Kluyveromyces lactis: one gene and its partners. The protein of the gene in region 1 purifies or fractionates together with the protein of each later gene. This does not show direct contact. Links are inferred from orthologs where the notes say so. Each region holds a gene or a part of one and is shown on either strand. Other genes may lie near its edges.

Evidence for each region. The genes of interacting proteins can lie anywhere in the genome.
Region 2: the proteins of QCR9 (region 1) and COR1 purify together in Saccharomyces cerevisiae (affinity purification with mass spectrometry; 3 studies listed by BioGRID). This does not show direct contact. The link is inferred for Kluyveromyces lactis from reciprocal best matches to the Saccharomyces cerevisiae genes QCR9 and COR1.
Region 3: the proteins of QCR9 (region 1) and QCR2 purify together in Saccharomyces cerevisiae (affinity purification with western blotting; 3 studies listed by BioGRID, with this or other methods). This does not show direct contact. The link is inferred for Kluyveromyces lactis from reciprocal best matches to the Saccharomyces cerevisiae genes QCR9 and QCR2.

What each region holds. Positions count from the first base shown.
Region 1 is NC_006042.1:1,408,207-1,412,632, forward strand, and holds QCR9 (ubiquinol--cytochrome-c reductase subunit 9), read right to left. Parts: upstream 1,856-4,426; coding exon 1,787-1,855; intron 1,288-1,786; coding exon 1,081-1,287; downstream 1-1,080. Other genes in the region: protein translocase subunit TIM13, read left to right, coding at 84-389; E3 ubiquitin-protein ligase UBR1, read right to left, coding at 2,250-4,426. UniProt on the Saccharomyces cerevisiae protein: Component of the ubiquinol-cytochrome c oxidoreductase, a multisubunit transmembrane complex that is part of the mitochondrial electron transport chain which drives oxidative phosphorylation.
Region 2 is NC_006041.1:506,893-511,978, reverse strand, and holds COR1 (ubiquinol--cytochrome-c reductase subunit COR1), read right to left. Parts: upstream 2,822-5,086; coding exon 1,484-2,821; downstream 1-1,483. Other genes in the region: PSY4 (Psy4p), read left to right, coding at 1-643; ECM13 (Ecm13p), read left to right, coding at 4,890-5,086. UniProt on the Saccharomyces cerevisiae protein: Component of the ubiquinol-cytochrome c oxidoreductase, a multisubunit transmembrane complex that is part of the mitochondrial electron transport chain which drives oxidative phosphorylation.
Region 3 is NC_006038.1:322,270-327,101, reverse strand, and holds QCR2 (ubiquinol--cytochrome-c reductase subunit 2), read right to left. Parts: upstream 2,567-4,832; coding exon 1,484-2,566; downstream 1-1,483. Other genes in the region: serine/threonine protein kinase SCH9, read left to right, coding at 1-231; RPC82 (DNA-directed RNA polymerase III subunit C82), read left to right, coding at 3,453-4,832. UniProt on the Saccharomyces cerevisiae protein: Component of the ubiquinol-cytochrome c oxidoreductase, a multisubunit transmembrane complex that is part of the mitochondrial electron transport chain which drives oxidative phosphorylation.

The DNA of each region.
Region 1 (4,426 bases):
TACAATTAACAGCTATAATCTATCATCCAGGCCCCTCTGAACATTGCATCGGATCAATAATCTATCATAGAACACATTAAGATATGGCTTTAACTTCGATCTTTGGTGGTAGCTCTTCATCATCTGGTACCCCAGCCACATCCAGTCCTAGCGATGTCAAGACCCAACTTAAATCTCAAATCTCTCAAGAATTAGCCATCGCCAATGCTACCGAGTTAGTTAACAAAGTCACTGAGAACTGTTTTGAGAAATGTCTGAATGCTCCATATGCTGCTTCTCAAGATAACTGCGTCGACCAATGTTTGGCTAAATATATGAGAAGTTGGAATGCCATTTCAAAGGCTTACATTAACAGAATTCAGCAAGCTTCGGTTAACGGTGAAATCTAAGGGGCGCAACTTTTGAGATAAAAGAAGTTATTTAATGCTCTGATTCATTACAAGCTACATGTATATAGATTTGTATAATGTTATATTCGCGTCTTACGTATAATCATACATTATGAATGCTATTTCATACCCGTCGAATAAATTCAGGTATATATATATAAACAAAAGTACGGTATTGGTACACAAATAATGGGTAATTCTTTTTTATTATCGTATAGACATGATTAATACACAGAAACAGCACAAACAATACATTGTATTTAAATACAATTGAGCCGCATATGTGATTGATTGATGAGATTTCAAATAAGTGAGTTGAAAATAAATAGGAGTAGAGGGAAAAACAGCTAACAACAAATAAGATGAACATCAATGCGCAGATATTCACGCTTTATGGTCATATATGTTTTACCCTTTTTATCTCTTGAATCGAGTGAGATTCCGATAGCGAAAAGGATGAATGTTATGAAAATCTGAGAACATCATTCCAAAGTTGATGTCCTAGGCCTGGTAGACGTATGGAGTGCCGGATAGATAAATGTTTCCCGACAGTAGCGTATCCACATTTTTAAAATATGTTTTGAAGTGACGGTATATTCTAAGAAGTAAAATAATTGAACAAAAGCATCAATGAAAAGACACTTAAAAGTATAATGATGAGAAATGATATAATTCAAATGTCAAAAGAAACTTATTCATCGTCTTCTTCATCTTCTTCACCACCGTTCATGATACCACCCTTGATATCTTTCCATAACTTACCTTTGTTGTGGTTTTCGTACCAAGAGGTCACACCAGTATCGAAGGCAGCTTGGAAAACGAAGGCAGAGGCGAACACGGTACCAACGAAAACAGAGTTTCTCTTAAAGACAGTTTTGTACAGAGTAGAGGCGAAAGACTGTGATAATTAAGTTGTTCAGAAAAATAATTGTTAGTAATATGATCTAATATTTCATGTAGTCAATCCGCAATGATCTGGGAAAACAGCCGCTGGATTTTGCCCAGAAGGTGTCCATTCTTCACTTGTTTGATGTAACTGATATACATGCGATAAGCCATGGTCGTACTTCGAAGATAAATGTAGTATTGAGACTGCCTTTCTATTATATGGAGATATCGGTCATACCTCCAGGGAACCTTAACAGGCATCGGAAACACCACGGGATATGCAGACATTCAGCTTTGGAAGTATATTTCACTAATAATAGTATAATTGTACATTAGCATCTGCTCAATGTAATTTGCATCGTGTTTACAAACAGTTTTTTCAGTTCCCAGTTTTCGGTTTCTCAATTCCAGAAGTCAAATAAGACATCTACGCCAAAATCAATGTTTTCAGATCCAGAAAAGACGCATATCATATGTATTATCCATGACTAATCAAATCATTAACATACCATTTCTAAAACGGGAGTTCTGGTTTCTGTTGAGCTGAACTTTTTCTTATTAAACCTTGTCTTTGGCATCAGTCGAAGTTAGCTTTCCGTTTTATACATTTATCCAGTTTTTCAAAAATTTGAAGAAAAGTTCCGTACTCGGATATAATTGGGTCGTATGGTATGATATCCAGAAGTAATCACGTGCAAAAGTCTAGTACTGGGAGTACTTTCAACATGAATTATCAAAGGGTGGGACAGAGTCAGGCTACAATAAAAGATTCTGTAAGATATTGGACGGCATAGTATCCTGTGGTCAGTCCACTCCACATATTGCAGATTTATGCAAAACTAGTAAAAATATCTTATATCGATGTGTGCATAAACGAAATAACGTGCTATTCTATATATATTTGGTACATTGAAGTTGTGAATGGTGCCATAAGGTTAAGGCAATTTTGAGGTGTGACGAGCAAAAAGTTATTCATTCTACGTTATTTAACTCGTTGAAATCAAAACCTTCTTCTGCAGAACTGTATTCCGTGTCTTGATCTTCCGAAGCGTTGTTTTCGTGCTCTTCGTCCTCACCATCTTCATTGCCGTCACTTTGATCATTCAGTTCAAAGTGCTCTCTATTTCTATCTGCACGGCCGAAGAATCCATTCATTGCATTTCCTTGCAGTTGTTCAATGATATCTTCTGTAGTCGGAATGTCTGCGCCATCACCTTGCATACCCCCTCTCATGTTTTGAACAAACTCGAAAAAATCATGTATGTCACCTCTTTCGGTTGGTAATCTTATAGGGATATCTCCACCGAATGGTCCACCATTGATGCGTAATTCAACATCAGGCTGTCTAAACCTTAGATCTGGACGATCATCATTCCCAAACTCATCATCGTTCATAAGGTCCTCGTCACTGCTCTCCCCACCAGCGTTGAAAGCAGCACCAGGTCTCCAAAACATGTTCCTCGTAAATGTTCGGTTATTTGCCATCGCAACCCTGAATTCGTCCCCCATTACTCGGCTGATATAACCGGGGATACCATTTGAAATCCAAAGACGAGTTAAATGTTCATATCTAGCATGATTTAATACTGTTAGATCACCTCGTTCGATAGCGTTTCTTCCTGATTCACCGTGTGAGTTCAAATAAGGGGCCGAAATGTTGACGGTACAGTCCGGTCTACTTAAATAGAGGCACACTTGACTGATATTAGGAATTAAAAACAACCCACTGGAACCATGGGAACACCTTTCCATGTGCTTTTGCATTTCAAGGCCATCTGTACGTGCGTGAATCTTGACACCACATATCAAACAAATTTTATAATCAAGTCTGTTGACAGTATTTCTAATTTTTTGATCATTCTCTTCACGCAAAGTAATGTTTTTATTATTAGTCACATAAGTATTCAAATGAGTTGCTAAATCGGTTAATTTGATGATACTGCAGTACTCATGTGGAGCATTAACCAAGGAGCTTTCAGGGGAGAGAGGAGAATGCGAATTCATCAACAAGTCATAAAAATCAGTCTGGAGCAAAAATCTTATCAAAAGATGGAAATGTTTTTCTTTGCTTTCGGAAGTAAGGCTACCACTCAGCACATCTTTTTCATTAAAATCTAAATCATCCCCCCCTGTCATAAATTGCTTTAAGGCCTTCAGCAAGATAATTGATCTCCTTAGCGTAGGTAGCAATTCAGAAATTAAGAAGGTATAGAACAAATCCAAGGTGTGCTTTTCAACTTGATCACCAAATCCAGCTCCTAATATCGTTGTTTTCAATACAATTGAAAATTCAGAGGAGTCAAGGCAAGTCTGGGCTCGAAGCTCGGATTCATATTTCCTATAGAAAGACCCAAAGTCTTTTGTCAGACCCTTCAAACGCTCCACGAGTACTTCCTGTAAACAATCCTTAAAGGAAAGTCTAGACCTTAATACCGTTTCAACAACTCGGAAAAACGGATAACTTGGTAAATTGCTGCTACGAATATCTTCATAGAATTTGAGTACATTCTCTTCAGTATGCTTAGTTAATCGTGTGTAGACAGCCAAGGACTTGAGAATGTTCTGCAGTGTCTTAAATTTCTGTTCTTCACCTGATAAGAGTGTTCCAAAAGGATCTTTATTAAGCCTGGACAACATCTCTAGCATACAGATGTTGTTAGAAAACTGAAGAGAGAGAGTTAAAAACCTATCCTGGATCCAAGTAGGATCATTGCGATTTAACCGTAGACCATTGTTAGAATCTTTGAGAGATAGTATTATTTTTCCAACTTCGTCGTTACATTCAGAGCTGTACTCAGAAAAAGTTAGCAATAAAGATTCATCCAAGCCTCCAGTCAATTTCTGTTGCAAAAGCCTATCACCAGATTGAAGTTTAACTGTATCGACAGGTATGACTGAATTACAATACGTTTGACATAATGGGCAGATGAAGAGATCTGTACTATACCGCTTCTTATCAATATAATGTTTGAAACAGCGATAGTGCACGGCATGATTACAAGATACAAGAACCTTCTGTGTAGACTCATGCATTAGTTGACTAGCTCCGTTTTCTTTTTTCTTGTAAAACAAATCTGTGTTATAAGTGGCGAGGTGTTCGTTATTGTCAAAGCCATGCCATGGTTTGTATATTTCCATTGGCGTAGGGT
Region 2 (5,086 bases), on another chromosome or scaffold:
TCGTGGATATGATAACCATGGCGATGTGCTCATCGAGGAATACGAGGAAATGGATGAAGAATTCGAAGATGAGGACTATGAGGATCACGAAGATGAAGAAGAAGATGAAGAAGACGAAGACAACGACAGTGACGTCGACGAAATGGAAGCAGAAGAGGTGGAAGAGGATGCAAGTGACGACATCTCTATAGGCGAGATAGCAGAAAATGATGACCAAGATAATGCACATACAGATGTTACGGACACTCAGCTTAAGTACAATGGCGTTCCTATCGAAGAAGAGCTTCGATTATCTTCAACAAGTAGCGTTTTATCCGTCAGTTCACACGCGGCCAATGAAGATGAAAATGAAAGCATTCTTTCGAGGAAAAGAAATGTCACCGAGTTGGATGATTATCAGTACAAAGAAACCAAGGAGAATGATGGCTTCATAACAACTCCAAAGAAAAGTAAAATGCCCTTGAACGAGTTTGGATCATCGTCATCTATGGTATCCCCCGTAGTATCTAATCAGGAGGATCCATCCAGAAACGATGATTCAAGGATAAATACATTCATTTCTCCAGATACAACGAATTCAGTAACTCAAGCGGAAAAAAATGAGTTATCTACTAGTCCGTTGCAAGACAAAAAAAGAATGTGATCATGCAGCGCATGATTACGCAGTTATCATCAAGAAGTTCCACGCTATTATGTTAGATACAGAATAAAAACACAAGGCCTTAATTTAAGAATTCAGTTAGTTTTTTCATACATATGAAATAAATATAAATAAAGAGTTTATTAATATTTCCCGTGATACAAGGAAAACATAAAGGTCACTCTTCTTAGTATCAAATGAATATATCAGTAGGTTATTTCAGACAGGATTAATTATAATAATTTGATGTTTTTTTTCAGGTTTCGATATAGAAAGTAGAGTGTTGAATTTTTTTTTTAGGATGACTTGAATACCGCAATTTCCAGATTACCTCAAGAGAAAGTCTTGATGGTTAAAATGTATTCAATTGCTCACCAGTAAATGACAGTATCATAAATAAGGACATTGAACTCATATTTTTGTTTCGACGAATAATGAGCGAGATTTTGATTTATTTCGATTTAGCCTAAATTTTCAAATATCATTTGGAATTAAAAAATACATTATGTTCATTAAATGTATTGATCTTGAGGAGCTGTGACAGAGCGAAAAATCGAATGCGCCAGTAAACACCCTAGACTTTAGTCCAAAACAGTAAAATATTGATATAAATCGATCGTGACAAATTTCTTTTTTTGGGGGAATATACACACATGAAATTAAACTGTAACTTATTACTCATCGAGTGATATGGTTATAACAACTCAAAAGTAAATGTTACAGGGAGTAATTCTACTCAGTCGAGTAGAAAAGAGAGAATTGTTTTTAGAATGACCGTCGTGAAATGAGAATATAATATAAAAAGAATTGTTAAAATATCTTAAGACTCGGCTTTTAGTTTGATTACCATCTCATCATACTCATGTCGTTTCTCATTCTGACGTAGTCCAACAAGTCTTCAATCTTACCAGTACCGGCAACAGCGATATCTTGATCCCATAATCTTTCGGAAGCCCAAGCCTTAATATCCTTGGAGGTAATTTTGTCAATCTTAGTGAAGACTTCAGCCAAGGCTGGCTTAGCACCCAAAACCAAGGTTTGAGCACCCAACAAGTTAGCAGCAGCAGCGTTGGTAGAAACTTGAGAAGCCAACTTCAACTTTAACAAAGACTTAGCACGAGCGACTTCAGTTTCGGTGACAGAGATGGACAATCTGTTCCATTGCTTCAAAGTGAAATGGACAGTTTCATCGATGTTGTGTGGGTCGGTGATGGTGGTTCTGAAACCCCACAAACCGGAGTCCTTATAAGAGACAGAGAAGTGTTCGAAAGAGTCACACAAGTGGTATTCGTTAACTTCGTCGATCAACTTAACACCTTGTAGGTTGGAAGCTGGTTCAGCAGCAACGAAAGTACCGAAGACTTCAGCAGCGACTTGAGCAACATAGTATTGTGGAGAATTGATAGGTTCACCTTCAGCAGCGATAGATACCCAAGCCTTTGGTAGAGTATCATCTCTTAGTCTGACTTCAGAACCCAAGAAAGTGGACTTCTTCTTTGGCACTGGTTTGTCACCAGATAGCAAAGAAAGCTTAGTTTCAACAGCCTTGACCAATTCATCGTGGTTAACGTTACCGGTACCAACAATAACAGAGTTGTTTGCCTTGAATTGGTTTTGAACGAAGTTGGACAAGTCGATGTTTTCCAAACCTTCTAGAGTTTCGACAGTACCTCTGACTGGCAAAGACAATGGAGTGTTTTGGAAAGCAGTGGCGTGCAAGTGTTCGAAAACACGTTGTTCGTGTTCAGTTTCTTCGAACTTGGCAACAGTGTCTACAGTAGCTCTCTTGGAACTTTCGAAGACGGAGTCCTCAATTGGAGCGAAAAGCTTGGATTGCAAGAATTCTAGAGCCTTAGCATATTGACCTGGTTGAGAGTTAACAATGTAAGATTGGTGGTCTCTGCCAACCTTGGTTTCTAAGGAGAATCCCAATTTTTGAGCATCCTTGATAGAAGAGTTGACAAAGGAGTTAGCCAACAAGTTGGAAACACCGTTGTTGTATGGGTTTTCGGCAGTAGTACCGGAACCGAACACCAAACCGACCGCAGCAGTGGCAGAGTTGCTGTTTGGTTCAGTAGCAACAACAACACCGTTAGATAGTTCGGTGACGATGGCTTTTGGGGTAATTTGAGTGGCAATGGTTCTCTTCAAGATTGAAGATCTAGTAGCGGTTCTCAACATCTTTCTTATGGCAAATAATTGGTTATAATCCGTTTAATCAATATAGTGTGTTGAATTTGTACGTGCAAAATAAATAGAATACGGGATCAAAAACAAGTCAATGAGCTCCCAAATGTAATACCTTCGAAGTTATAATTCTCGTTTACTTTTTTCCTTGGAAACCTTTCTGTTGGTATACTATCGATTCAAAAAACAGTATAGTGGTATTTCACTGAAAAAAATATAAAGCAAAGTTTGGATAGTTTTTAGCCTAACTGAATTCTCAATTTCCTTAAAATTGTGCACACTTGACTGAAGCAATATACAAGAGTAGAAAACTATAAACAGGTCTAAATAAAGTTAGTGTACTTTCATTAAACAAATATCAATGATTTATCTAACTACTTTTAATTTTTTTTTAATTTTGGAAGGTTACACTATATGAAAAAAGTGAAAAATGTTGATACTGAGAGCGCTGTCTAGTTTTTCGATATTTCCATAATTTTTTTTTTTTACCTCTTCTTCTTTGTCTTCTCTGTAGCATAGAGATTTTCTTTCATTGGACAACGACCTGTCCACATAATTAATAGGGGACCCCCTTTGAACAATTATTAAAATCGTTTCTGGCCGAGAAACTGGTCCGAAAAACAAAAATTTACATAGTAGCGAGTACTTTTCGGGACGAGAATTTAGCCCCAAAACTGCTAATTCCATCTGCTCGAACATTTCCAATCAAATCGACATTTTTGGGATTGCATATCCCTCTTTCTCGCTCATCTCGCAGTTACGGAAGTATCGGTACCAGCATTTCTTTTCCCATAATAAACAGTGGAAATGCTCGATTTCCTATGGTAAGCGGTAAACTTTGAATGAAAAATGAACCGTGAAATACGATGCCCGAACTGGATTTCCATTGGTTCGTCAAAGATGATCAAATACCGAGATTGAAATTCGACTCACGTGAATAAAATTACACTTACCCGCACAATAGAAAGATTCGGGTAAGTACCAAAGTCCAAATGAGTACTTTTTTTTTTTTTGATTACTTGCTTGCTTGCTGGTGGTTTGTGCGTACAGTGTAAGTGTTCGATTCTCGCCTTGAAAACACCGCAACGAATATCCATTCGGATTTACTCTTCGGAAATAAAATCATCATTTCATTCGCCAACTATCCCTGCATGTATTTACGACTTCTTCAAGCAAGGTTTCTAAGAAATTTAGAAGGGAGCTTATTCCCGCAAAGCAAAATGCGCTGAAAAATGGTCGGTCCATCAGGATCCAAATATCTTAACTCCCATGTAATCCCCGTCCGGAACGGTTGTTGTTCTTGCCGCCAGTTTTGAAAGAATGCCTCCCGTATTATTTCAGTTTTCTTTTGACATGGATTCTTGGGTTAACAGCCGTGGTAAAATAGCTCCGCGGGATCTATTTTATTACATGGAAGGGATTTTCTACGTTTTTGCATGCTAGGAAATACGAGTAACAAGGGTCAGCAGACTGTAAACACATGTTGGTACTGATAATCCTATCAGTAGCTTTCAGTCTGGCTTTCAGAATGGCTCGGAGTTCGTTGCTTGGTTTTGTGAGGAAGTTGAGTGCTTTTTTGTGCATTTGTCAGTTTCATGGTATGTACTTTGGATTGCATTTGTCAAAATGGAAAGGGGAAAATGCCGAAAAATATGTGTTTGGTGTTTTGTGCTAGGTGCAAGTTCGAGCGACACTAATGCAAAAAAAGCATTTGTAATAATAATGGCTCATCTCAGGAACGGGTTTTAAGTTTTACAAAGCTGAGAAGTTTATCGTTTTGAGATGTGTCAAAGGTGGTTATAAAACGCTTCGGATACTTTGCGGGCCTTATCAAATATCCACGTATATCTGAATTGCTTTGTCACGTCTTTACTTATATATATATATATGTATGTCGGGTGGGTGTAAATATTATCTGACACTGGCTGAGATTATCTGTTGACGCCCCATAGTAACGTCATTAGTTATAGTCAACGACATCAAAACGGTACTCCAGAGCGAATTAACTTTTACTGTATTAAGGACAGATAACTGCCACCAAAAAGAACATACTAAAAAAAAAATGGCTACCATATTAAGTCTGTCACAACAATATATGCTTGCCTCAAGGGCTAAAGGCAAGCTACTAGCCGCAGCAAATAAAAACAGTGGAAGAGATCATGATTTGAGAATTCTAGTAGGCCATGCTAATTTACTCGATAGACTCTCCTCTTCAGTAGCCAAATTCGACGATATCGTCTCCAGAAGTTCATCAAATGA
Region 3 (4,832 bases), on another chromosome or scaffold:
TATAACAATGCATACAATAATCGTAAGTTTTTACAAAACTCATATTTCATGGAGCCCGGTTCATTTATTCCTGGTAATCCTAACCTACCTCCAGACGAAGACGTTATTGATGACGAGGAAGAGGATAATGATAGACTTGCAGCTGTGAAGGGAAGTGGTGGTATTTCTGTAGACTATGACGGCGACCATCACATGGATGATGAATTTGTTAATGGTAGATTCGAAATCTAAATCGAATTCATCTTACATCAGTGCTTTATACATTTTTTGGTTGATCTTTTTATTTCATTCACCTAATTAAGATAATTACATCCCAATTTTGCCATGCTACTGATTCTCATATTCTCCATTCGCAGTTGTATTTATTTAGTTTCCTGCTTTTCCCCACTATCGTTCAGAACATGTTCTATCATTTTCATATGAATCTAATTTGCAGGAAAAAGTTGAACAGGAATCGATCGTTGTTACTATAATATTCAATTGCCTTTACATCACCGTTTTTCAAAGTACGAATGTACAATTTTCCAATGCACGGATAATGGTTTTTCATGCCTTATTGTAATATTCTAGTGCTAGCTTTTAGAATGATTCTTACCTGTTCCCCAACCGAAGACAGTTTGTGAGCTCTCAGAAGTTGGATGGCCTTTTTATCTTTTTTCTTTGATTACATATGTTTAATGTAATCATTTACTTTTTCCAATGGAGTTTTGAGAACTGTTATCGAACCTCTTTAATCATTCAGTATTCACTAAAGACTTTAGTTAAACTTTACCTTAACTTAACTTAATTTATTATTTCCGTTATGATTTTCTTTTTAGAACGTCAATTGTAGTAATTATCCAAATGTATCATTTATTATTTTTTATTCTGTCTGTAATCTATGATATTCTTTCCACTTGCTAGTTCTCAATAATATGTTAACTGATATTTGTTCAGAGATATATACTTCAATAAATAAGTGATAAGTTTCTAAGATGATATGTGAAAATAAAAATAGGTTCGGCAAGAAGACACACTACGTATTAAACCAACGTTCTTGCAATATCACCACAACCTCTGTTTGATTGTTTTTCTTAAGAGCAGTGATGGGGATTGTATGAATCAACAGAACTGTTGAATTTGATCAGTGGCTTCTGCACATTTCAAAAGATTAAGATATTGACGGGTTCTCTTTTAACATCACCAGTTTTTCCAAAGGTTAAAGGTGTTCTTTTGAATCTTAGAGAGTTTTGTTTTTGAATTTTATTGGTTTCTTTTAGGTTGCAATGTTTCCAAAAGCCACGAAAGGTAAAAGATAATAAAAAATATGTACAATAGAAATGTAATATCGTTTCTAAACATTTCAGTGATGTGATTCTGTCATCTCTCATGAATATGTGTGTTTGTTTGTTGTTTTTTTTTCAGTTTTAAAGTACTATGTGTGTAACTTTGGCTAGTAGGAGAAAGGTTAAAATCTGTGAGTTATTTTTAACTGTGATGAAATTTACAATTCATCAGCGAAAGGTAGCTTAGCGACGTTACCTACAGCGGCGTAAGAGAATTTGTCCAACTTGACATTCTTGACATTAGAGACATCGATTGGAGCGTTTTCCAAAGATAATTGCAAGGCAGTGTATTCCTTAGCAGCTGAAATGTCGACATCCTTCTTCAAGGTATCAACGACCTTCTTTATGTTTTCAGCAACGACAGAAGCATCCTCACCCTTGACGTATAAAGAGAACAAGCCGGCATTAGCGTACTTGTCTAACTTAGCTGAGTCAATTAATGGAGACAATTCGGACAAAGCAGAGGTTAGGTACTTAGCCAAGACTTCGTAGGTAGCGAACTGTTCCTTAGTAACTGGAACAGCGATAGCGGCAACGGAGGCACCTGGAGCACTTAATCTGGCTTCACCGGAGAAGAACTTTGGTTGAGCTTGAGCAGCCAACTTGGAGCCAGTTGGTAAAGAACCAATCAAAGAGTCGTTGACAAATCTCTTCAAGTCAGCTTCGTTGACACCTTGACCAACAATTTCAATGTTTTCCTTGGTGTAGACCTTGTTGGCATAAGCCTTGATATCATCCAAGGTGACCTTCTCGACACCTCTGTATAGAACTGTGTTACCTAAGTCCTTTCTGAAAGAGACATTGTAAAGTAAGTCTTCGGCCTTGTTGATTGGGTTAGTTTCAGAAACGGAAATGTCGTACTTAGCAGCTGGCAAGACAGATTCTGGTAATTCGTGGGGTCTGAAACTGGTCTTGTACAAAACGTTACCCAAAGCGTTAACGAAGTATGGAAGATCTTCCTTCAAGAAAGTAGCCTTCAAAGTGATGTATTCTCTGTCAACACTGGATTCGAACTTACCACCCAACAATTCACTTTCTCTAACCAATCTCAAAGCAGACTTGTTACCGGTGTTATGGAAGTTGAATCTGGACAAAAGGTGGGCAATACCTTCTTTGTCGGCGTAACGAGAACCACCGTGAACCTTAACAGCCAAAGTGGATAGTTTACCGGAACCGTCTTTAGCGGAAATACTGAATTTTCTAGCAGTTTGCTGGGCAAATTGTAATCTACTGGACAACATCTTTATATTATATGTTTATGGGCTTTTTAATTTTGGGAGTCAGAATATCAATCAATATCAATATCAATTATGCGTTAATCAAAAGGTCTTCCTCTACTTTTCCTTTAATGTCCAAACTCAAATAATATTTACTCACACACAAAATAAGTATCGAAACAGAGCAAAAAAAGTACACTGACAGAGTAACGAGTAAAACAAAGTAATCAAAATAGTATATCAATCACAAATCTTTACAAAACCTGTAATCAAAACCAATCTTCAAACAAAAAGCTCTAAACTTTGAAGTAGAATTGTCATATTTTGTTATAAATTTTTCAAGAACCTATTGAATAAAGCTATATGCGATAAAATCCAATAACTAACAAAAAAAAAAAAAATTGAAAAAAAAAAGATATTTCGAGATGTGAAGACTGATCTCTACAGAGGAATCAGAGAAGAAGCGAGCTGATTCTGTAGAAAGGAGAAGCGTGCTTAGACCATCTTGGAGTCACAGTAAGAAGGGGATATCGGGTTTTAGCGGAACGTACTGGGAGTGAGAGGGAACAGACAGGAATCGCGTAATGCACTGTGAAAGGGTATTGGTAAACCATTTGAAGAAAAAATGGTTGGACACGGTTCTTAGAAATGATTGGTTCGTGAGTGATGAGATGTCACGTGACACAGAAACACAAAAGTCACGTGGTTGTGACCACGTGACTTACAATAATGTTGCCTGTTTCTTTCGATCTTCTTGAAAGACCCATCCATTCGTATTGAAAGAAAAAAAAAATCTATCAATTGAATTGATCTCATCTCATCTCATCGCATACATGCATGACTACTGCAACAAGGTGGCTCGACTGTAGAAAAGGTAGGAAAATAAACAATTGTTATTGCAAGCACTGACATGAGTGCTGCCCAAGCTGCCCTGATCCCCGATGCGGCTGTTCCAAATGGTGGTGCAAGTGTTGTATCAGCCGCAGAACCATCCACATCCACATCACCAGAACCAATCGATATCTCTTCATTAGAGCAGAGAACTCTTAACCCAGATTCGTTTTTATACTCTGAACTTGCCAGATCCCATCTTGGTGAAAGAGCCAGTACTGTTCTATCCGTGTTGGTCAACAAAGGAAGACTCTCCACGAGAGAAATTCATTCTTTCATACCAGAACTTTCGTTGTCCAGTATTAAAACCGTTTTGGTCAGTTTGATTCAATTAAGATGCGTACAATATTTGGAAGAAACCTCACTCTCTGGTCGTAAGACCCTTTATTACTACTTTAACGAAGAAGGTTTGTTCCTTATGTTATATGCGGGTGACATCAGCGACAGAATTGTTCAATATTTCAACCAGGATGAGGAGCAACACTTGGTCAACATCGCACAACAAATTATTCATAACGTTCTCGCCCTTGGATCACTTACCGTAAAAGATTATTTAGCGTCTGAATCCAATTCCAATGATACTGATATTTTCAATATCCACCAAGCTTTCGTCAGATTGGCTGATCTGGAATTTTTGGTTCCCTTGCAAGGGATCCATTATACACCAATCGTTGATTTATGGAATATGCTTTATCTACGAGAGTACAAGAAATTACCGAAAAACACCACACAGTCGGATTTGAAAAAAAGAAATGAGGCTAAAGCGAAGGCCAAGTTGGAGTTCAACAGAATTGTATCATCTCCATCCCAGGATTCAAATGGTAAGATCTTTTTAACAGATTCAGGAACTGGTTTCAAAAAAGTTAATGAATCTGTTTCTTTGACTTTCAATTTGGAGAGATACTTGAAATCAAGAAGATCAAACCAGTTAGTCCAGTTTGCCAAATCAAGAATTGGAACTACTTCATCCAAAATTTATGCTGTAGCTCTTTCCATGACAGAACAACACTCCAACGGGTTGAGTCATCCACTTTCCAAGACTGGCCTTTTCCAAGACCTTGATGAAAGAACTTCTTTGGAAGAAGACCTCAAACTTGACGAAGAAAATGTAAAAGGTGTTTCATTCACTGCACTTGATGTGGCGAGAAGACTCCCAAGCAACTTGGATTTAAGAGGTACTCTAGTTCACTCAAACCAGTCATTAAAACGAAAACAAAAGCATAACCAATCACCACCTCAATTTGAGAAAAGAATCAAAACAGAAGATGGCTTCGTAGTACCACCATTGCCAACCGTTATGGAAGAAAGTGAGGAAGAAAATGAAGAAGGAGATGCCAACCTAGATCTCGACGAAGATGATAGTGATCCTCGTTCTGTATCGTTAGTGAATGGCCATCTG